Coturnix japonica: one gene and its partners. The protein of the gene in region 2 interacts with the protein of the main gene of each other region in a pairwise test. Links are inferred from orthologs where the notes say so. Each region holds a gene or a part of one and is shown on either strand. Other genes may lie near its edges.

The links. The genes of interacting proteins can lie anywhere in the genome.
Region 1: the proteins of PACSIN1 (region 2) and EHBP1 interact in a two-hybrid assay, tested with the Homo sapiens proteins (2 studies listed by BioGRID and IntAct). The link is inferred for Coturnix japonica from reciprocal best matches to the Homo sapiens genes PACSIN1 and EHBP1.
Region 3: the proteins of PACSIN1 (region 2) and COBL interact in binary tests that used the Homo sapiens proteins (3 or more experiments, as listed by UniProt). The link is inferred for Coturnix japonica from reciprocal best matches to the Homo sapiens genes PACSIN1 and COBL.
Region 4: the proteins of PACSIN1 (region 2) and ANKRD24 interact in a two-hybrid assay, tested with the Homo sapiens proteins (2 studies listed by BioGRID and IntAct). The link is inferred for Coturnix japonica from reciprocal best matches to the Homo sapiens genes PACSIN1 and ANKRD24.

The regions. Positions count from the first base shown.
Region 1 is NC_029518.1:2,281,471-2,286,397, reverse strand, and holds the start of EHBP1 (EH domain-binding protein 1), read left to right. Parts: upstream 1-1,831; 5' UTR 1,832-1,976; intron 1,977-2,732; 5' UTR 2,733-3,045; coding exon 3,046-3,149; intron 3,150-3,208; exon of another isoform or gene 3,209-3,223; coding exon of another isoform or gene 3,224-3,288; intron 3,289-4,927. UniProt on the Homo sapiens protein: May play a role in actin reorganization. Links clathrin-mediated endocytosis to the actin cytoskeleton. May act as Rab effector protein and play a role in vesicle trafficking.
Region 2 is NC_029541.1:4,229,982-4,234,783, reverse strand, and holds the start of PACSIN1 (protein kinase C and casein kinase substrate in neurons protein 1), read left to right. Parts: upstream 1-1,531; 5' UTR 1,532-1,670; intron 1,671-4,802. UniProt on the Homo sapiens protein: Plays a role in the reorganization of the microtubule cytoskeleton via its interaction with MAPT; this decreases microtubule stability and inhibits MAPT-induced microtubule polymerization.
Region 3 is NC_029517.1:49,563,154-49,567,853, reverse strand, and holds the start of COBL (protein cordon-bleu), read right to left. Parts: upstream 3,097-4,700; 5' UTR 3,082-3,096; coding exon 2,981-3,081; intron 2,684-2,980; coding exon 2,633-2,683; intron 1-2,632.
Region 4 is NC_029543.1:1,706,619-1,711,340, forward strand, and holds the start of ANKRD24 (ankyrin repeat domain-containing protein 24), read right to left. Parts: upstream 3,097-4,722; 5' UTR 2,941-3,096; coding exon 2,872-2,940; exon of another isoform or gene 2,829-2,871; intron 1,873-2,828; coding exon 1,742-1,872; intron 1,652-1,741; coding exon 1,563-1,651; intron 1,421-1,562; coding exon 1,356-1,420; intron 1,098-1,355; coding exon 1,040-1,097; intron 965-1,039; coding exon 894-964; intron 670-893; coding exon 563-669; intron 483-562; coding exon 295-482; intron 199-294; coding exon 170-198; intron 16-169; coding exon 1-15. UniProt on the Homo sapiens protein: Component of the stereocilia rootlet in hair cells of inner ear.

The DNA.
Region 1 (4,927 bases), on a different chromosome or scaffold from region 2:
GAGAAATGGCCCAATGAGGGTACAATTCTAAAGGATACCAAAAGCTGGATGATAAAACTCGTTAACTTGCTCAGCCCACTTGCAAGCTAACCAACATCAGACTGACTGGAAATAACTCTGGAAAACGTTCCTTGAAGAAATTAGTTCTAACCCAGTGTTTTGTGAGGCACAATAAGGCAATGCTGTCTGCAGTGTGCAGGTCTCCACCACCAACACCCCATCTTTCATCTCGGCTCCAAGGGCTGAACTGCTGCAACGTGGCTTCTGCATTTCAGGAATGTGACTCCAGTCCTTGACCTCGTCTGTAGATAAATATGACGTCTCTTTTACTGCTGAGTGGCTCAGGAAGAATTTCAGCCAGGTAGAGGTGGGATAAAGGAATTACAGGTGAGGATGTTTTTCATCCTCCCTTTTGGAACCAGGCTCTTGTCTTTACCTACAGGACTTTGGTCTGGGCAGGAGCGCCCAGCACTTCCGGGATGGTGCAGTGAAGCCGTTTGCAAAGGCTGAGACGTGAAGCTGCCATCAGGAAATGGGCTTTTGGGGCACCCCTTCTGGGCAGAGCACAGCAGGGCACCATGTTCAGGACTGGAGGATGGCGCTTTGCTCAGATTTGAGGAAGCCCGTGTGAATTCTCCACTATGTAAAGGTGGGATCAAACTTCTGAAGGGATCCAGAGAGATGAGGGCGTTTCAGATGTAGCAGGTGAAGGCACAGCCCACTGCCTCACAAAGCTGAGTGCTCTTGTAAATGTGACATAATCCAATTAGTCAATTACCTCGGTGACATTTCCGCAGGCTCGTGTACCGGGGAAGCAGATTTATAAGGATGGCTATTTCTAGCAAAGGCCATTTATGTCCTGGTGAACAACCCGCCCTCAGTCACTCTGATGGCGAGGTGTGATGCAGCTCTCAGCATCCCGCGCCGTGCCCAGGTGTGGAGGGTGAGGACATGCATAGATACACCCCCACGGCTTCATTGAGGCGAGGAACACAGCGGGCTCGGCAGGAATATCGCTGTCAGAGCCGCCCTGAGCACATCGTGGACCTGGGACTGACAGCGGTAACTCGAAGTGGAGCGCTGAGGAACCGGATCCCGATAACGGCTGGAACCCGACTCCCGCCTCACACAGCACGCGAGCCGCCCGCTCGGATGGAGGCACATGATGTCGATGCTGCACGGCCGGCCTCGTTTCCCCAATGCCGGGCAGCAGATCGGCGCTTCAAAGAAAAACGGGGCTCACGTCAAGCTCCGCGTGCGGAGCTGGGCAGCAAATCCCCCACACACGTGCCAAGCCGACGAGGCCGGATCCCCGACCGGCCATGAGCGCAGCCCCGCCCGCACCGCGTCCCGCCGCCACGCGGCCCCGCCCCTCCCTGACAGCCCGCTCCTCCCGCCGCGCCCACCTTGCCGCTGTAGGAAGCTCTACAGCCAATCGCCGCACGTTGTCGCGCTGACGGGCGACCGAGCTCGCCTATCGCGAGGCTTTTCCTAACGCGCGACCCCGCCTCCTCGGGTACCGCGGCCAATCGGGACGGAGATGGGCCGTAGTGGGAGCTGAGGAGCGGAGGGCTCGCGAGCGCCGCCTTCCCTCAGCGCTCGGCTCTGCCCGCTGCAGGATCGCCCCTCCGGCCGCGGGTGATTGACGCGGAGCGGCGGCCAATGGGAGGTGCGGGGCGCGCGGCTCAGCCAATGGGACGGCGGGGGGCGGGCCGCGCCCGGCCGGGGGGCGGTGGGTCGGGCCGGGCCGGGGCGAGACGCTGCGCGTTGCCGGCAGGAGGGCGATGGTGGCGGCGTGAGGCGCGGCGGGACCCGCGCGGGCTGCCCGGCCGGCGGGGCTGTGCGGCCACGGGAACGCGGGGGAACGGCCGCGGGGCGCCGCCAAGGCGATGGGCGGTGTCGGTGTCGGGGCCGCCTCTCGGCTCGCCGCGCAGTGCCAGCGCCCGCCCCGGGGAACGCCGTGAGAGCGGCTGCAGGTGAGCGCCGCGCCCGCGGGAGCCGCCCCGGGCCTTCCCTGCCGCCCCAGCCCCGCCGCCCCTCGCTCCCTCCTCCCCGGCGGCGTGTTCGTCCTTAACGCCCGGGGCTGCGGGGGACGCGGGGCTGACGGCGGCCGGGCGCGGGGTGGCGGGGAAGCCCCGTTGGGCTGCAGCTCAGCGCCCCGCGCCGCCCTCCCGCCGGGCTCCGGAGCCCGCCGCCGCCTCCTCCGGCCCGGGTCGGACGGCGGCCTGCGGGGCAGCCGGGGCCGCCCTGCCCTGCCCTGCCATGCCATGCCCTGCCATGCCATGCCCTGCCGTCCCTCATCGTGCCCCGAGCCGGCGGTCCCGCGGTAGCGCTCCCCTCTGTCCCGCTCCTTCTGCCCGGCACGAGGCGTGGGGTGCGTGTGTGATGGGGGGCAGCCGGCACGGCTTTTGTCAGCGCCGCGGAGACAAAGAAAAGCGGCTCCCCGCATCCCGCCCCGCTTCCAGGGGTGCCGCCGGACCCCGCTGCCCCGCCGGTCGCTGCTGCCGGCGGTGCCGGTGCCGCTAAAAGGACGCGTCGATACGCCTCCAAACGGGCTCGCGGTTCGCATTTCTAGAATTGCTGCAGCCGTATAAATCCGTGTATTCGTTCGGGGTGACGGGACGGGCTCTGGCGGTGCGGCTCGCGGTCCTTGTGCGGAGGGTTCCGGGCTGGGAGCGATGGCAGCGTGCCGCCCACTAACCTGCATCTTCCACGGCCTTTTTGTCTCCCAGTCCTGCAGTCTCCACGCCGTCCGCCGTGTGAGGGATGCTCATGGTTCCGTGAGAGAACTTCCTCGCCTCTTTTGCTCACTTGCAGCCCCTATTGCCTGCTGCTCCTGGACGGTGATGAGCCATTCAGCCGCACTGGGATCTCTACTGTGAAGAAAAGAGGGGCGAAATATGAGTTGTAGACATCCTCTCGAGCTTCTTGTTCATTGTTTTTCCTGCATCTGTATATAAACCTGCTAGTACTGAGCACGCGCTCTTACGCATACGTGGGTGTTCTTGCGACTGTGCCACAGGACCAGTGGTGTTCCTCGCAGTCATGGCTTCAGTTTGGAAAAGACTGCAGCGTGTTGGGAAACATGCGTCCAAGTTCCAGTTTGTGGCCTCCTACCAGGAGCTGATGGTGGAGTGCACCAAAAAATGGTAAGGAGTGACTCGCTGCTGCCCAAACACGGAGTGAGTTCTTGATGCTGAAACTGAAGGCTCTTGCTCGTTGCATGTTGTTCGGGGTGTGCGTGGCCTCACTTCCCTCACCTGCCCATCGCAGAAGCGGCTGTGTAAGGTGTGTGGTGTCTGGAGCATGGTGCTGCAGCTTGGGCCTGTTGGTTTTGCTCTGCGTTGAGATTCTCTTTGCTGATGTTATTACATGGGACAGTGCTTTTATGAGCTTGACACCTGTAGCTTAGTGGCTTTTTTTTTTGCTGTTCATTTACCTATACTATATGTATTTTCCAAGAGTCCTTTTGTGGCCTGCAGCTTGCTCTTGGGGCTGGCTGTCCCCTTCCGATGCTGACTTTAGCTGGCTGAGCCATTTGGGCTCAGCTCTGAGCACGGTGTTGCTGTCATCTGGTTTTGATTTTGACTCCTTTACCTGAAGGATGTCTCGTCTCTCCTCTTTCCTTTCCAGATTCTAAAGGAAAGAGATGAGAGGTGGGTCCTTGGGAATTGTCTGAAGGCACTTGTTTAGTTGGGCAGGAATTTCGTGCAGCAGCGGTCCAGTCGGATGGCTTTGGAGCTGACTAGACAGCAGTTATGGTAATTGAGTGGCTCTGGCACAGGCACGTCTTGCTTCCTGTGCTAAATGAACTTAAGTGCATCTGATGGGGGCAAGACTGGAAACAGTTTTTATAGTCTGCTAGCAAACATCTCCGTTATACAAATACCGGAATGCTTTTATACCTGAGGAATATTGATGTTGTAATTCCTCACATTAGCATGAGCCTGTAGTACCAGGGCATGGAGGAAGTACTTTGCAGTCCTTGTGGATGGAGACGTTCAAACCGCCCTGAAACAATCTGCAGCCTCCTTCTAATACTGGCTTTGTCCTATTGTCCTTGCATTGGCTGACTTTGCTGGTTATGAGTAATTGCCTCTGTAAATTCAAATGGTATCTTATGGAGTTGGAAATGTCAGTCAGATGTGCTGGAAGGCTGCTTGCTGCTCTGCTGTAAAGGAACACCGCTGGCTTAGTTGTGTGCTTATTTCTACCAAGCTACCTGCTGGCCTCAGGTGTCTCCAAAGATGGTGAAGAAACAGAATTATTTTGGAATTGGAACATTCTTTCGCTGAACAAACTTATGAATAAAAATAGCTTAAAGGTTGAAAGAGACTGTCACGGTCACCTCAGGTGACCAACCATCCAGCTCAGGCCCAGGAGTTCTCCATTGTAATCAGGTTTATTTCAGCATTGTGTGAGTAATGTCTTATGCCTTGTCATCTTTCATTTCTCCTTCACACCAACTCATCTCTTTTGGCTCTCATTTTCACTTTCACTCCTTCCACGTGAACATGCAGAACTCTTCAGTACTGAAGTACGAACGTTCAGATTGGATCTGCAGCCTCTTCTCACTTAAGAAAGTCACACACAAAAGTTCTCTTGTCAGCAATCGTGTTATTTTAGAAACAATTAACTTCTTGTTCCATCACAGTGTGACCACCTAGCAATATGCCAGCATGGTGAGTGGTCATGCTGCCTTCAAAGCCTCAGCTGTGCATAAATATATATATATATATAAGCTTTTTTTTTTTTTTTTTTGCTTTACATCCTTTGATGTAACGTGCTGGGTTGGTGCTCGCATTTGTTGTAAGGGAAGAGAGGAATGGTGCTGAAATGCGGATGAATTCTAGGAAAAAAAACAATGGGGAAAAATATCATTCACACAGCCGTTTGGTTGTAGACTTCCTGTTCTGCTTCCTCTTGT
Region 2 (4,802 bases):
CCTACTGCCCCCCCAGGCCTTCCGCCTCGCCATCCCGGGCCCAGATCCCCCCGATCCCGGAAATATCGCCGCGGATGGGCCGGGCCTGATCTCCCCCGTTCTGTCCCGGTGCTGCCTCACGGCTCCGCCCGCGGATGGAGCCGATACAAGCCCGATCCGAGCCCGATGTAGGCCCGGAGCGCTGCCTCACCGTGACAGTCTCAGCGGGGCCGAGAGCGGAAAGGAACACGCATGCGCCGCGCTCTCACTTCCGGCCTCCCGAAGGCCCCCCCAAGCGCTGAGGGTGTCCACCGCGCTGCCTGTAGCAAGGTGCGCAAGGCCCCCAGTCAGGTCACCGAGAAAGGTGTCCGTAGTGATGCCTGATAGGAATTAGCCCTTTAACCTCAGCATCCCTGACATTAAATGGGCGCTGGGGCAGCCATGGAGCTCAGCTCCATCCCCTGCAGCTCCCACATGTGTCACACAGCAATGGGATTTACAGTGCTGATGGCTGGGATCATCCCCCGTGGATTAGCACAGGGCTCAGGCCATACTATGGGGCTGGTGGCACAGGGGGGACCAGGAGCCACAGAGCAGGGCTTGGCCATGGCTTCCTATTGCTATGAGTACAGCAGTCACCGTGCATTCACCCTGACAGCAGCCCATGGCCTTCCCTGGGTGCCCCCATGCAGCCTCATAATGGGGACGAGCAGCCTTTGTATTCATACACATGGAGGACAGGGGATGTTCCAGCAGGGCTTTCCCTGCTGCTCTGTGTGCTCACATTGAGCCCTGCTGCCATCAGCCCTTACTGCAGGCAGAGCCGTGAGGAGCTGGTCAGTCAGTGCTGCCCTTTGGAGCCGGGCTGTAAAGCTCTGGCTGGGATCCCAGGGAGCAAAATGAGTGTGTAAGTGAGTTCCACCCACGCTGCTCCCTGCAGAGCAAAGGGCTCGTGGTTCCAGCACAACGAGCTCCCAGCAGCTCCTTGTGCTGGGATCTGGGGCTCCAGCACACACAGCTCCGCTCACACCACGCTGCTCAGCACAACACTAACACTCTCTGATCCCACTGTGTTCCCTTGGTCCTGGATGGGGTTTGCTGAGGGCAGAGGCAGAGCAGGATGGCAGGACGCAGGCTGTGTCCCATACCCCACACAGCACCCAGCACTTAAGGCTGCTTGGAGGTCTCAGCACCCCAGGGGAGATGGGTGGAGGCTCCATTAGGTGCATCCCTCCATCAGACCAGGGGGCAACCTCAGGTCTGCCCACATCACACAGGGAGAAGGGAAGGAACAGGGGCTGTGAGCCATAGGATGGAGGAGAAGGAAAGAGCGTGGGGAGGTGTCAGCTCACAGCACAGTGTGCAATGAGGCTGAGGACCCCCCCGCAGCCACCCGAGCTTATTCTTCGCTGCTCCTGCGGTAACGTTTTCACCTTGTGCTGCGAAGGAGTCATTATGCCGAGCCGGGGTGGCGATTGGCTGGCTAAAAATGCCTCTGTAATCTCCGTGCTGATCTTTACCCCCTCCTCCCCATCTGCCGTGACCTTCCTCCCAATGTGCAGAACCAGCCCGAGTGAGACGGAGCCTCTGGGTTCCCAGCCATCACCCCGGCCACCCCCAGTGCCGCCCAGCATCCGCAGCCCAGCGCCCTCCCCGTGCCCTCCCATGGGCCCTGCAGCCTTTTGCCCAAGGTACCGACGCGTCCCCGGGGCTCCCGGCATGTTCTGGCTCCAGATGTTGGCAGTGGGGGGCTCCCGGTGGGCGGTGGGTGATGGGGATGGTGGTGGCCCTGCTGTATGGATGGGACGCTTGGTATCGGCGTGTTGCTGTGCACCCTGGTGGAGGTGTCAGCCCTGTAATGCTCCTGGACCTGGGAGGTGAGATTCTGGCATAGCAGCTCAGTGCTGCCTGGTTTATGACATTGCCAAACTTCTCTAGGACTGGGGATTGCTTACTATCTTGTGCCTGAGCTCGGGGGGCTGCTGTCAGGTGGGTCTCATCTGAGGTTCTGTGGCATCTCGTGGCTCGCCCCCGCTCTATACGTTATGCAAAAGCTGCATCAGCTCAATAACAGCCCCAGGAGTGCCCCAAGGCCAGGCTCACTCTGTCAGCTGGGGGCTGGCACCATTGTGCTGCTCCATGGAGAACCCGCAGAGCATCCCGCACCAGGAACGGGGTCCCTCCAGCTCCCCACAATGGATAAAAGAGGGCTGGGAGCCAAAAAGCCGCCCTGAACAGCCTGCAATTGTCAGGGCTGTCAGCGCTGAGCAAACGGAACGATTGTGCTCATCTTCCCTCTGCCTCCTTGCTGTGCGCTTGGCATCCTCTGACTTGCCCGGTGAGAAATTCAGGATCCTCAGCACTGGGTGCAAAGAATTGCTCCTTTAGAAGAACCAGGATGGGTCACCGATAGGACGAGGAGGGGAAAAGCAGACCCAGGGATGCAGCAATGACTGCAGGGGAGAAACGCATCTCCTGGCCCCACGCCCTGACCAGGATTGCTGCCCTTGTCCTTCCCATCCCGCTGCTCTGCACACATCTCCTCTCTGCCATTCTTGCTCCTTGCTCACAAACAGCCAAGCAAGCACTTTGCTAAACGGATTAGAGCTGTGCTCCTCCTGCAGCCTCCCCGAGCTGCTCCCGCTGGGTGCTGCATTGCCACAGATCACAGATATGGGACACAGCAGTTCCTGCACTATGGGCTGCCCCTGAGCTGTGGGGCACGGTGACCTTACACTGAGATGTGGCTCCTGCAGCTGGGGGCTCACAAGGCAACAAACAACCCCATGCAGCAGTTCTGGGTAGGCAGGACTATGGTGGCACTGCTGGTGGTGAGGATGTGTTGTATCCCCACTCCTCCTCAGCTCAGGGATGAGAGCTGGAAAAGGGAGAGGAGAGGCTTGGGAAGGAGATTAACGCTGCAAAGGGGAATTTATCAGTGGCTGAATGCCAGGGCTGCTGCTGACAGCACTGAGCCTGTTCTGGGTGCTCGCAGCCGTGTCCCCATCCCCTCCTGCCCCTCTTGGCCATCGCTGCCTCTTCCTGTGTGGGATGGATTTAACTAAAGGGATTGAGGAAAGGCAGCCCGGGTGGCTGCAGGAGCCTCACGTGCAGCTCTGCCCCATGGACAGACTTTGTCCCCGGTGGGGCAGCGAGCAGGGCAGTGCTTGTGCAACGGCATGAAGGCAAATAGAGGAGCCTTGGAGAAGGCACTTCCCCTATGGGGCACAGCAGCAGGGGGGAAAGGAGGCAGCGACCCCAACATTGCCATGGCTGTGAGCAATAGGGACACGCTGCTCCCAGCTGCTGCCCACAGCAGACCCCACACACAGGCATTTTCCCAATAAAAAGGAGCCTTTATGTCCCGGCCCCTGCCCCGGAAGGGGCTCACAGGCCGCCTTGGGGCTGGGTATGGGCAGACAAAAAGGGGATTGTTGTGGTGGGAGCTGGGCTGCTGGCAGCACCTGCCCCACGTCGGGGGCCCTTCACAATGACCGGCTTTCTGCATAACTGCTGCAGAGGGGCCAATTATCCTCCGATGCTAATTAGAGATGCAAAATAGCCTCGTGTTTGCATTCTCCCAGCAAGCCGGAGTGTTCCTGGGACCTGCAGCACATCTGTAGCTGATGCAGGGCACAAACATGGGGCTGCTGCACCAGCAGTGCAGTCAGGATGATTTGCTTCTCAGTTCACCGTGGTGCTCGAAGAATCTTAATTTCAGAGTGCCAAGAAGCCACATAAATCAAGGCTAATTTCCTGCCAATACTGCCCGCTGCTTCCCATGGGGAAACTCATTTTATTGAAGGGGGAAATGAGTTATTGCAGGAAATAGTGACCGCTGGGATGGTGCACAATGGGGGAGGGTTTGTCATGGCCTTGTTTGTGCCACAGCATCCAGCTGGCACTCACTGCAGGGCTCTGAACTGCAGGGCTCCATGTATCACAGGGTCACTGGAATCCCCCACCACCCCCCAGTGTTTAATGCCAAGAGCATTTGCTCCCCTGTGCCCAGATGCTGCCGGGGCTGAGGACCCTGAAATGGCAAAAAGCAAAGACCAAATGATGCTGCAGGAGCCTGAGCCCCCCCGCTCTGTGTTGGGGCAGCATTATTTCACCTGGGTCTCACGCTGCCTCCTCCCCTGCAGCCAGCACAGAGCCCTGAAATATTTCAGGACCTTTCTGGCTTGCTAAAGGTTGGAAGACGTGCTCAGATGGCACACAGACCCACCAAGCTTCATTAAGGAATGGAAGGCGCTCATTAGGGGAAAGCTGATCCAGGCTGAGCCTCATGGGAGCGGGTTGCATTCTGTGGGCAACCCGATCTGGGCAGCTGCAGCCCGACAAGCAGCCAGCCTCATTACTGCAGCTCCTGTGGGCGGCTTCGGTTACTCAGCCCGAGCCGTTCGTCTCCTGCCAGCTTTGAATTTCCCTGACATCACCCCGAGCTGGGGGAAAACGCAGGCAATGGGGAGTGGGAGAGCCCACCCGCACCATGGCTCCAGCTGCTGCTGCCCATAGGGCTCACGGATGTGGCACAATGGGATGAATGCCCAGACACAACCCTGGGGTTTGGGAGGAGGCACTGCCTGGCTCCATGGCCTTGGAGCAGCAGCTCATGGGGTGCAGCAGCTCATGGGGTGCAGCTACTCTGCCCCTTCCCCATCCCATGTTTCTATGTAGCTCTTGCACCAGCTCCTTCCCTGCTGGCACATTTGGCAGCGAGGCGGCACCAGCTGCATCTCCAAAGGTGTTCTGGGGTGTTTGTTTCTATAAGAGCTCAGCCATGAAACCCTCCCCACTGCACCAGGGGGAGGAGTGGAGGG
Region 3 (4,700 bases), on a different chromosome or scaffold from region 2:
GTCACATCAGTCCAGCAGATAAATCACTCCAAAGCAGGTGTGTTAGCATGTGCCTCTGTTTGTGATAAGATCCTGTGAGACGGGGAAGGAGTTTGCAGTACAAGTAGTAAAGGTCCTACACTAAAAAAGTTGTATGGGCACCTTTTTATGTAGGCATTTCACCCACCTATGCTGAAGGTTTCAGGGGAAGCCCCTGTGCTCAGCATCGCAGCACAAAGAAGCACCCATATGCCGTGGGCTCAAGTGGGAGACAACAATGCTTGCACTCACAGAGGATAAAGCTCTGTCCTATGCAAGAGCTGATCCTGCATGTCCCTATTTTAGGGTTGAGTTCTCTAAGTCACTTACGATCAATGGATGCCATTTTTTTCTTGCTACAGTCAATAAAGTCACCAGTTGGACATTCAGGAGATTCAGGGGCCTCTTCTCTGTTCTCCCCACCAAAATAAATGCAGCTGCACACACCAAAGCAGTAGGTTTTCAACAACTGTTTTTTCCCTCTTCCAGTCATGCTCCCATTGCAACACTACAGAGCAAATCCCATGTACTGGTATTTGTAGAATCATAAATTCATAGAATGGCCTGCGTTGAAAAGGACCTCAAAGATCATCTAGTTCCAACTCCCCTGCTATGTGCAGGGTTGCCAACCACCAGATCAGGCTGCCCAGAGCCACATCCAGCCTGGCCTTGAATGCCTCCAGGGATGGGGCATCACAACCACCTCGGGCAACCTGTTCCAGTGCGTCACCACCCTCTGAGTGAAAAACTTCCTCCTAATATCTAACCTAAACATATTCAGTGTCTTAAATTCACATTCATAACCTAAAATAAATGTTAATTAAGCATGGCATTATGGACTTAATAAAGCTTCTAGCCATTAGCGTTAGTAAGATTCTTCGGACTGATGTCCACAGTTATTCTTGAAACAGAGCAACAGGAAAAACCCTGCAGCAACAACACAAACAGCATCTTTTCCTTCGCCATTTAAGACAAAAGCAAACAAACAAAAACCCATCAGCATCCTACTTTTAAATGTGCAATTCCCAGCAGCTGCGCCATGAACACATGCAGCCAGTTTATCCGTGCAGAGCACACAGCGGAGCTGCTGGACTCTACTGCACGATACATTAAATCAGCACACTGTTTAACAAGGAAAACCCTCAACATTACTGTTAATGATTTACATAGAGACAAAACAGCTCTGCCTAAATTTTGTTAAAAATTATAAAGCTGGGATCATTTTAACCCCTTACTTTCAGAACTGCCTGCTAACTCAATCAACAAGCTGGGAACGTGTAGCACAGATCTTCCGCTGCAAAAGGAACACAGTTCTGCCACAGTCATCTAAAAATCCATGTTCCCAGACAAGTTCCACAGATGCTGCTGACATCTGGATCCCTGCGGGAAGTGACAAGGACAGAAGAAGCTATCCTCTTGCAATGCTTTCCTGGCCAATTTCCTCACGGAACAAATAAAACCTAATTAGGGAGCAAACATCCATTGATTTCCAGTACTGATGCTGGAAATTCAGAGAATTACGTATTGCTCAGTGAAATCCGCAGCCGACAGCATGGGCACATCCAGGCTGAGATTCTACAGCTTCCAAGGAAAGCAGGAGCACTTCAGCACTTAAAAAAGACTCAGTTAGGGCAGACTACCGCTGAGTACACAACAGCTTTGCCACCAGCATATCGTTGCGCAATATCCCAAGTGTAGTGTAACCTTAGGACAGGCTCTGCTCCTTGGGCTACGCTGGGAGTTCTTCAACCGAAGTTAATGCACTTACAGCAACTTCTGGCCATCCACGTAGTAACCATCTGCTCATGGAACCAGCTCCACACTCACAGAGACAAAACTAGCTGTCTGTGAGTTCTATTCAGTATATTGCTGAGCTCCGAGACGCAGAAACAAGCAGTTTTTTTTCATTCCAGACTCTAACAAAACTCTGGATACCCAGCAAACAGGACAAGATTTTAATGAGCATTACAGAGAGAGGAGTGCTTCTTATTCTTCAAAGTGCTCACAGAGGAAGCCAGCAGCCTTACTTCCCAAGTCCAAGAAACATTACACACAGTTCTATTACTGCAGCATCTTGGCATCTTCTCTTCACCCACTGCCCCCTGTTCTAATTTTGAGTCACTCACTACAAGACTTCCCATCAAATAAAGAAACGATGGAAACCAAAGATTAAAAAACGAAAAGCCCTCAAGCACGTACTTTAACGCTGCTTTTTATTTAACTGAATTTATGACACGAATAATGGAACTTCAAATAAATAAAAAACTTCAGAACCAACCACAGTCCTCCTCAATGCGAGCGGGCAGCATGAAGCAGAGCAGTAAACTGCACCGAGCGTTCAGCACAGCCTCAAACCCGCCTTGCTCCCACTCCGATCAAAGCGATCTCACCACCGGTCGACCCCCCGACCCGCCCCGCTGCAAACCCTCTCCCACTCCCTCCAGCCATTCGGGCCGCCCGCTCGGCCCAGCGGCCCTAAGCCCGCACCCCGGCCCCAGCGCCGCCCCACTCCCTCGCCCCGTGCCCGGGCCGGGCTGCACGGCGGGGCCCCGGCACCTGCCGGCAGTGAAGACGGCCGCTCGGAGACCGAAGCCGGGGCTCGGGGGTGACTTACCCGGTGGGCGGCTTGCCGGCCGTGGGGCGGACGAGGGTCTCCATGGGCGTTCTGAAGGGTCCCGGCGCCAGGAGAAGCGAAGGTCGAAGAGGAGAAGGAAGCAGAGGGCAGCTATGAGCACTGTCTCCCCACACCCGAAAGCTTTTCCCCCGGCCCGGCCGCGCTCCCGCAGCCGCTGGCGGGGCGGGGAAAGGGCAAAGTTACCGCTCCCCGCTCCGCGGCGGGCGGCACTCCCGGCTTGGGGCGGGAGCCCGTTGAGAAGGAGGGAGGGAAGGAGAACGACGGCCGCCTGCAGGGCCGGCACGGACGCGCCGCCCGAGCCGTGACTGGTCGGCCAGGCCCTCCTACCTGCGGGCACTCGGGGAGGGAGCGGCGGGTGGCTCCGCAGCTGCCCGCTCTCCTCTCACCGGCCCGTGCGGGGGCGAGGGCGCACGCGGAGCCGTTTCCATGTGAGCGCTCGGGACAAACACAAACACGGCCGCCCCCGCCGCCCACGCACCGTGCGGGCACCAGCGGGAGATGGAGGCTTCGGCGGGGTGTCCCGGCGGACCCTCGCCGTCTCCTCAACCCGCGTGGTCGGCGGTGCCTTAAAGTCTCAACGGTGTCAGAAGCGCTGCACGTCCCCCGGCACAGCAACTGTTACACTGTGCGTGTAAGGAAAGCTAGCTTGGGCTTATATTACTGGAGGATGTGCTCATTCTCCGACGTGCCTCGCTTTGGGCACCCTGGCCCCTCGCAGGCATTTCAGGAGTTCCTCTGCTTCTCTTCCAAGCCTCTCTGTTCGCTTCACCTTGTGTTCCGGGTTGTGGTGGCAGAAGGGCCAGGCCACCGCCAAAGCACAGAATGGGAAGGCTAAGTGGGGTGAAACCCCATCACAGAGCTGAGGGTAGGGGAGCTGCCTTGGCCATCTCCCTTTGACAGTGTGAGGATTCTCCTCAGGTCCTGGCAGATCAGCAGAAGTTGAGAGCACTGCTTTCTATTTCTTCCTTCCCATCCCTGTCATACAGAGAGGGCTTGATGCTGAGGGAGGCAGCTGGCCATGAAAACAATATTCTGCAGAAGCAAAGCATTACGGATCCCTGTTAACATGGGTAAAAGTTCACTGAGTCACCACAGCTCAGTAATTGTCTCTGGTCATTTGAAACACGTGTCATGGTAATGAGCCACTTGTACCCCTATGAGAATAAACAGGCTGGCTTGCATACATTATTTTGCAAGGGAACTGGTCTCTCAGATTCAGTCTCACTTACCAGAACTACCAGAAATGAATGGTGATCGCAGAGAAGCTGTGCATGTCCCATCCTTGGTTGGATGGAGCCCTGAGCAGCCTGATGTAGTAGGTGGCAGCCCTACCTATGGCAGTGGGTTGGGGCTGGGAGGATCTGAGATCCTTTCCAACTCAAACCATTCAGTGATTCTATGATTCTATTTAACCACAGGGTCTCAATTTCATAGCACTGTATGTCATGCGTTTGGTACATTTTTAATCCCCCCCTTTTTAATCCTAAATCTAAATTTTTACCCTAGAACACATGCTAAAGCTGCACAAACACAAAACCTCTACCAAACCCCAAAGATGTTCCCACCTCAAGAGCAAACTTTGCTGTTCTGCTCCAGGAACCTGCAAGAACTTCCTGCATCTCACTGTGTTGTGCTACACCTGAAGGAAGGTGTGACGTCCTTGTGGCTGTCCTGCAGAGCAGGGCTCTGACCATCTTCTTCACCGCCTGCAGTCCTGTTCCAGTTTCTCTCACCCTTTCCCAATAGCTTCACTGTTTCACATTAGTTTATTCCCTAGCAGCAATGCCTAAATGTTTTCTGTTTGATAGTATTTTCTCTTCAATTCCTATAATACAACATTCTTAGAGTATATAAAGGCTGCCACAACCCAGCAGTGAACAACAAAATAGTATCTGCTTATTACATTTGCTTTATTTTATACAGCACAGTGAATGACTGTCATCAATCCCTGAAATCACCATCTCAACACTGCTCCAGAGTTCCAGGAGCAGTAACACAGATTGCCCATGTCCAAAACCGTTCACTCCTATGATGGAAGAGCCTAAGG
Region 4 (4,722 bases), on a different chromosome or scaffold from region 2:
GCTGGGTGAAGATGTCTGCAGAGGGACATTACATAGCAAATGGCCTCCCCCCTTCCTGCACCATCACCACCATGGAGAGCATGAGGACTCCCAATGCCCCCCCAATGCCCCCCACCCAGAGGTTGAGGTGCCTCCAATCCTGGTAAGAGTCAGGCTTGGCAACCCTCACCTGGGACATCTGCTCAGATGATTCCTCTTCTGTGGGGCAAAGTGGGAGGAAAGAGAAATCAAGGAGGTTTTGGGGATCATGGAGGTGGGCATGGGATGTAGAGCCAGACTGGGGTGCTCACTTACCACTGGCCCAGGACTGGCGCTGAGCAGCCTCTTGCAAGAAGTGCTGGATGAGAGCATTGCCCGTGGACAGGCCGTAGTGTGCAGCATCGTGACCCATCGAGTCCACCAAGGCCACCCGTGCACCAGCATTGATGAGCACCTCCACTGTCTCCACGCTGCCATTCTCACAGGCCAACATCAGGGCTGTCCTGAGCAGAGGGGTGGGAGCAGAAGTGAGAGGACCATCCATCTCCCCATATGCCCCCAATTCCCACCAGCAAAGACTCACTTCCCCTGCAGGTCCCGGCTGTTGATGGCTGCTCCGTGGTGCAGCAGGTACTGACAGAGCTCTGAGTGGCTCATCTTTGCAGCAAGGATCAATGGTGTGCAGCCATTCTAAGCAGAGAGAAATTGGGTGAGCTGGGGATGCTGCTTAGATCCCCCATCTCAGGGCACCCTGCTGCTTGATTTCCACATCCTGCTTTTGGGGTGTTCTCATAGCAGTGCTTTGGAGACCCCAAGTGCTGCCAGCTGCTCCATTACACCCCAAGAAGCAGCTGCATTTCAAAGCCAGCATGGATCTTTGCTGCTCTGTAGGGTGAGAAGCAGAAGGATCTCACCTTGTCCTTAATGTTCAGGGGAGCTTTGTAATCGCAGAGGATCTCTGAGCACGATATGCAGCCACTGATTGCTGTGGAGGACAGAAGGTGAGCATTGCCTGATGTGGGGATGTGGGCAGGATGGGTTTAGCACTGTCCTCACTCACCTGCGTGGTGAAGTGCTGTCTGTCCATTGCTGTCAGCTACATCCACAGGGCAGGAAGCCTGAAAGGGAGGGAGCCTGGGTTACAGCAGGGTGGGGAACAGATAGACTCTGCAAGCTACATGTGGCTACTATAGGGCTATAAGGCTGCCCCAAATCAAACAGTGCCAGATAGAGCCAGGAACCATCATGCCAACCAGCACCAGCACTGAGGGAAGGGAGAACAGGGATAGAGGGCACCTTGCTGGGGCTGCCCTTAAGGTGCTGGGCTTAGTGTGGTGTGACACCAGGTACAACACCCTCCCTCCCAACCCCAGTACCTGCAGCAGCTTGCTCACACACTGTGGGTGTCCGTGCTTGGATGCCAGGTGCAAGGCAGTGTAACCTGCAGAGAGGGACAGACAGACAGGTCAGAGGACAGACAGTGGGTTGATAGCACAAGGGGGACAGATGGGACAGCAGGACCCGCTGGGCTGAGCAGGGCTACCACAGCATTAGAAAGGGGTATATGGTTGCCATGCCCTCACCTGAGCTGTCTTTGGTCATGGCATCCACACCGTGAGCCAGCATGGCTTCAAGGCAATCCACATTCCCCCGGGTGGCAGCCAGATGAAACCTGCAGCAAGACCCAGAGCTGTCAGACCCATCTCTCTCACCTGAGCCCCATCACAGCCCTGTATCCCTGGTGACACAGGCCAGCACTTACGCAGATTTGCCCTCTGAATCCAGCTTGGTGGGGACCAGACCCTTGCGGACGAGGAGGGATGCCACCTTTCCAGCATCATTGTAGTCCACAGCTTGCAAGAGCTTCTCATCGTTCTTGGTCCAGTCCTGACTCTGCAATGAAGCCAACGTGAGGCTGTGATCCTTGTGCTATCATCAGGGGCAAGTAGGATGTTGGACTAGACACAGTTACTAATCCTCATCCCCTCCCCTTCTATCCCACCCAACTCTATCCCTTAGGTGCACTTTCCCAGCTGCTGCTGTGTCTGCTGTGCTGCATGAAGGGTTTATCTAGGAGATCTGATTTGAATGAGGTTCCCCTTCATCCCCCAACCTGTTTGCAGTTCACAGATGGGGGAAGTAGCAGAGCTGCCCCAGTTTAGCTCTGAATGTTCCAAGGTCTTGGATGCTCCCTGATTGCCCCCCACCCAGGGTTTGTTCCTGCCACCCAAGTGACCCTGATGCTATCCATAGGCAGCACACAGGGGTTCCTGAGCCCTATCCCTGCTTGGGTCTCTCCATTTTCAGCCTTGTTTTTCTCCTTTCCAAGGAAGGGGTGAAGTCAGGGCAAGCAGAGCTGACAGTGAGCTCAGGTCCCTGGGGATGACTGCAGCCCAGTGTTGGGTACGATGCTCCTGAGCAGAACTGGGGCTAGGTGAGGGTTTGCTGGCCCATTGGCCCCACACATCCCTTCCTCAGGGAATGACCCACAGCAGAGCAGGAGCTGGGGCTCACCCCACAGCCTGGGACAACAAACCAGAGCTTGGCTGCGGCTGGGAAATGGATGTGACCTCTGGGAACAGCTCACATCCTGCCCCTCACCAGCTGATGCCCAGCGCTAGACAGAATCCCTGTGCCACAGCACCTGTCCTATATAGGGCCAGGGGACCCTGATGTGGGGTGTGGAATAAAACAGACTCCCAGGGTTACTGGGCAAACTGGGAGCGTGATGCTCACCCCCACCCCTTTGTCTTGCAAGGACAAAGCAACTCGGGGAGGATACAGCAGAGCCCAGGGGACAGGGTTGGGAATAGAGGGGGTCCGGACGGGGGTTGGGGGTGACAGCTTACCCCATGTGCAGGACTGAAGGGGAGCGGGGATGGAGGGACGTACCGCAAAGGATGCAGCGGCACAGAGGCAGATCTGCTTCATGGTGTTGAGGAGGAGGCGGCGGGCAGCCATGCATCCCTTGCCTCTCTGCCTGAGCTTGGGCTGGTCGGGGCTCCAGGTTAAGGACCCCAGACCACGGGTCGGTCCGGTACCGCCACCGGGGCGGGGGCCGAGTCCTGCCGCAGTGACAACCGGGATCCGCCTCCTGCCGTCCCTTCGTCCCTCCTTCCTTCCCTCCCTCCTCGGAGCCCAGAGCTTCAGCATCCCTACATCCCTGCATCCCTACATCCCTACATCCCTACATTCCCTATCATCGGCCTTACATCCCTACATCCCTGCATCCCTACATCCCTGCATCCCTACATCCCTGCATCCCTACATCCCTACATCCCTACATCCCTGCATCCCTGCATCCCTGCATCCCTGACTCGGAGCGGGTGCTGAGGTCCCACCAAGCACCAAGTCTGGTCCCAATTAGAGTGGGAGGGTGTGTGTGTGGAGGGGGGAGGAGTAGCTCTCTCACCCCTGTGCCCGAGAAGAGGAAAGGATGCATCCCCAAACTATAGGGACAAACATCCTCCTACTGCCTGCAAGCAGCTCCCCAAGGAGGAGGAAGGATGTAGGACCTCAACCCTGCCCTGAGGGACAGAAACTGATCTCCCATCGCTCTGGGGCTAAGAGGGACACAGGATCCCCCCACCTGAATCTTAGGGGACCAGTGACCCCCTGCAAGGAGGGAACCCCAAAATGCACAGGCTCCTCCACCTACACATCCCCCTGGTGCTGCCATAGGCAGTGGGGACGGCACTGTCACCTTCTTCCCAGCCTGGAGAACAGCAGGAATATGCAGCATTGTGCCAGTCTGGTGCTGAATAATTAAGGAGCATTGACTTGCTGGCTTCAAAGTGGGAACCCAATCTGGTTGCTGTGGCTGGAAAGCTGGCAGCCATCCCTGCATCCCATAGGACAGAAATGGGTACAGGATCTGGGACACATTCACCTCTCCTCGGTGCTGCTTTCCCTTCCTTTATTCTGCCCTGCTCACAACTATGATCCCAGTGGAAGCTGGGTCACTGGGCAGGTGCCCATGTCCCCATGGGACATCCCAGGGCAGATCTCTGTGTCCCCATACCCCCACGAAACCCACTGACACCCCAGGGCAGATCCCCACATCCCTGTGGACAACCCAGGACACATCCCTATGTCCTTGGGGACAGCACTTACATCTGCCTTCCTGAACTTGGCCTTCAGGCTCTTCATAGCAGTCCCGTGGTACCTGGGTTGAGCCTTAAAGCCTCATCTGCCCGCTGGGGTCAGGCTGTAGGGATGTGGCTGTTGCAGAGGGCAGCTTTGAAGGCTTTTCTGCTGCTGCTACGGGTCCAGCTCAACACCAGCCCTGTCTGTACCTTGTCTCACTGCTGCTGGCCCACAGCACGACACGGGGGGGGGGACACACACACTGGCATTGGGTTACCTCTGCAGTTACAGCCCGGGGGGGGGGAACATGGGAGGGCCCAGCACCAGGCAGGGCAAGGAGCACTGACATCCTTGAAACCCCTGCACCCAGACACAGGGCAGCTGCAAGGGAGGGGGTACTATAGCAAGGCTGGGGAAGCCTCAGATGAGGGAGAGAAGGGTTTGAAACCATCACGATGCTTCAGGTTATGTGTTAAGGAGAAATATTTCATTCATAAGGCAGGGAGATGCTGGAACAGGTTGGTTAGAAGTTGGGGATGCCAATTGAAGGCACTCAGGGCTGGGTGGGATCCTGGGGATCATAACCCAGCAGCTGGTAACCCTGACCAGTGTATGGGAGTAGAACTAGATTATCTTTAAGGTCCTGTCCAACCTAAG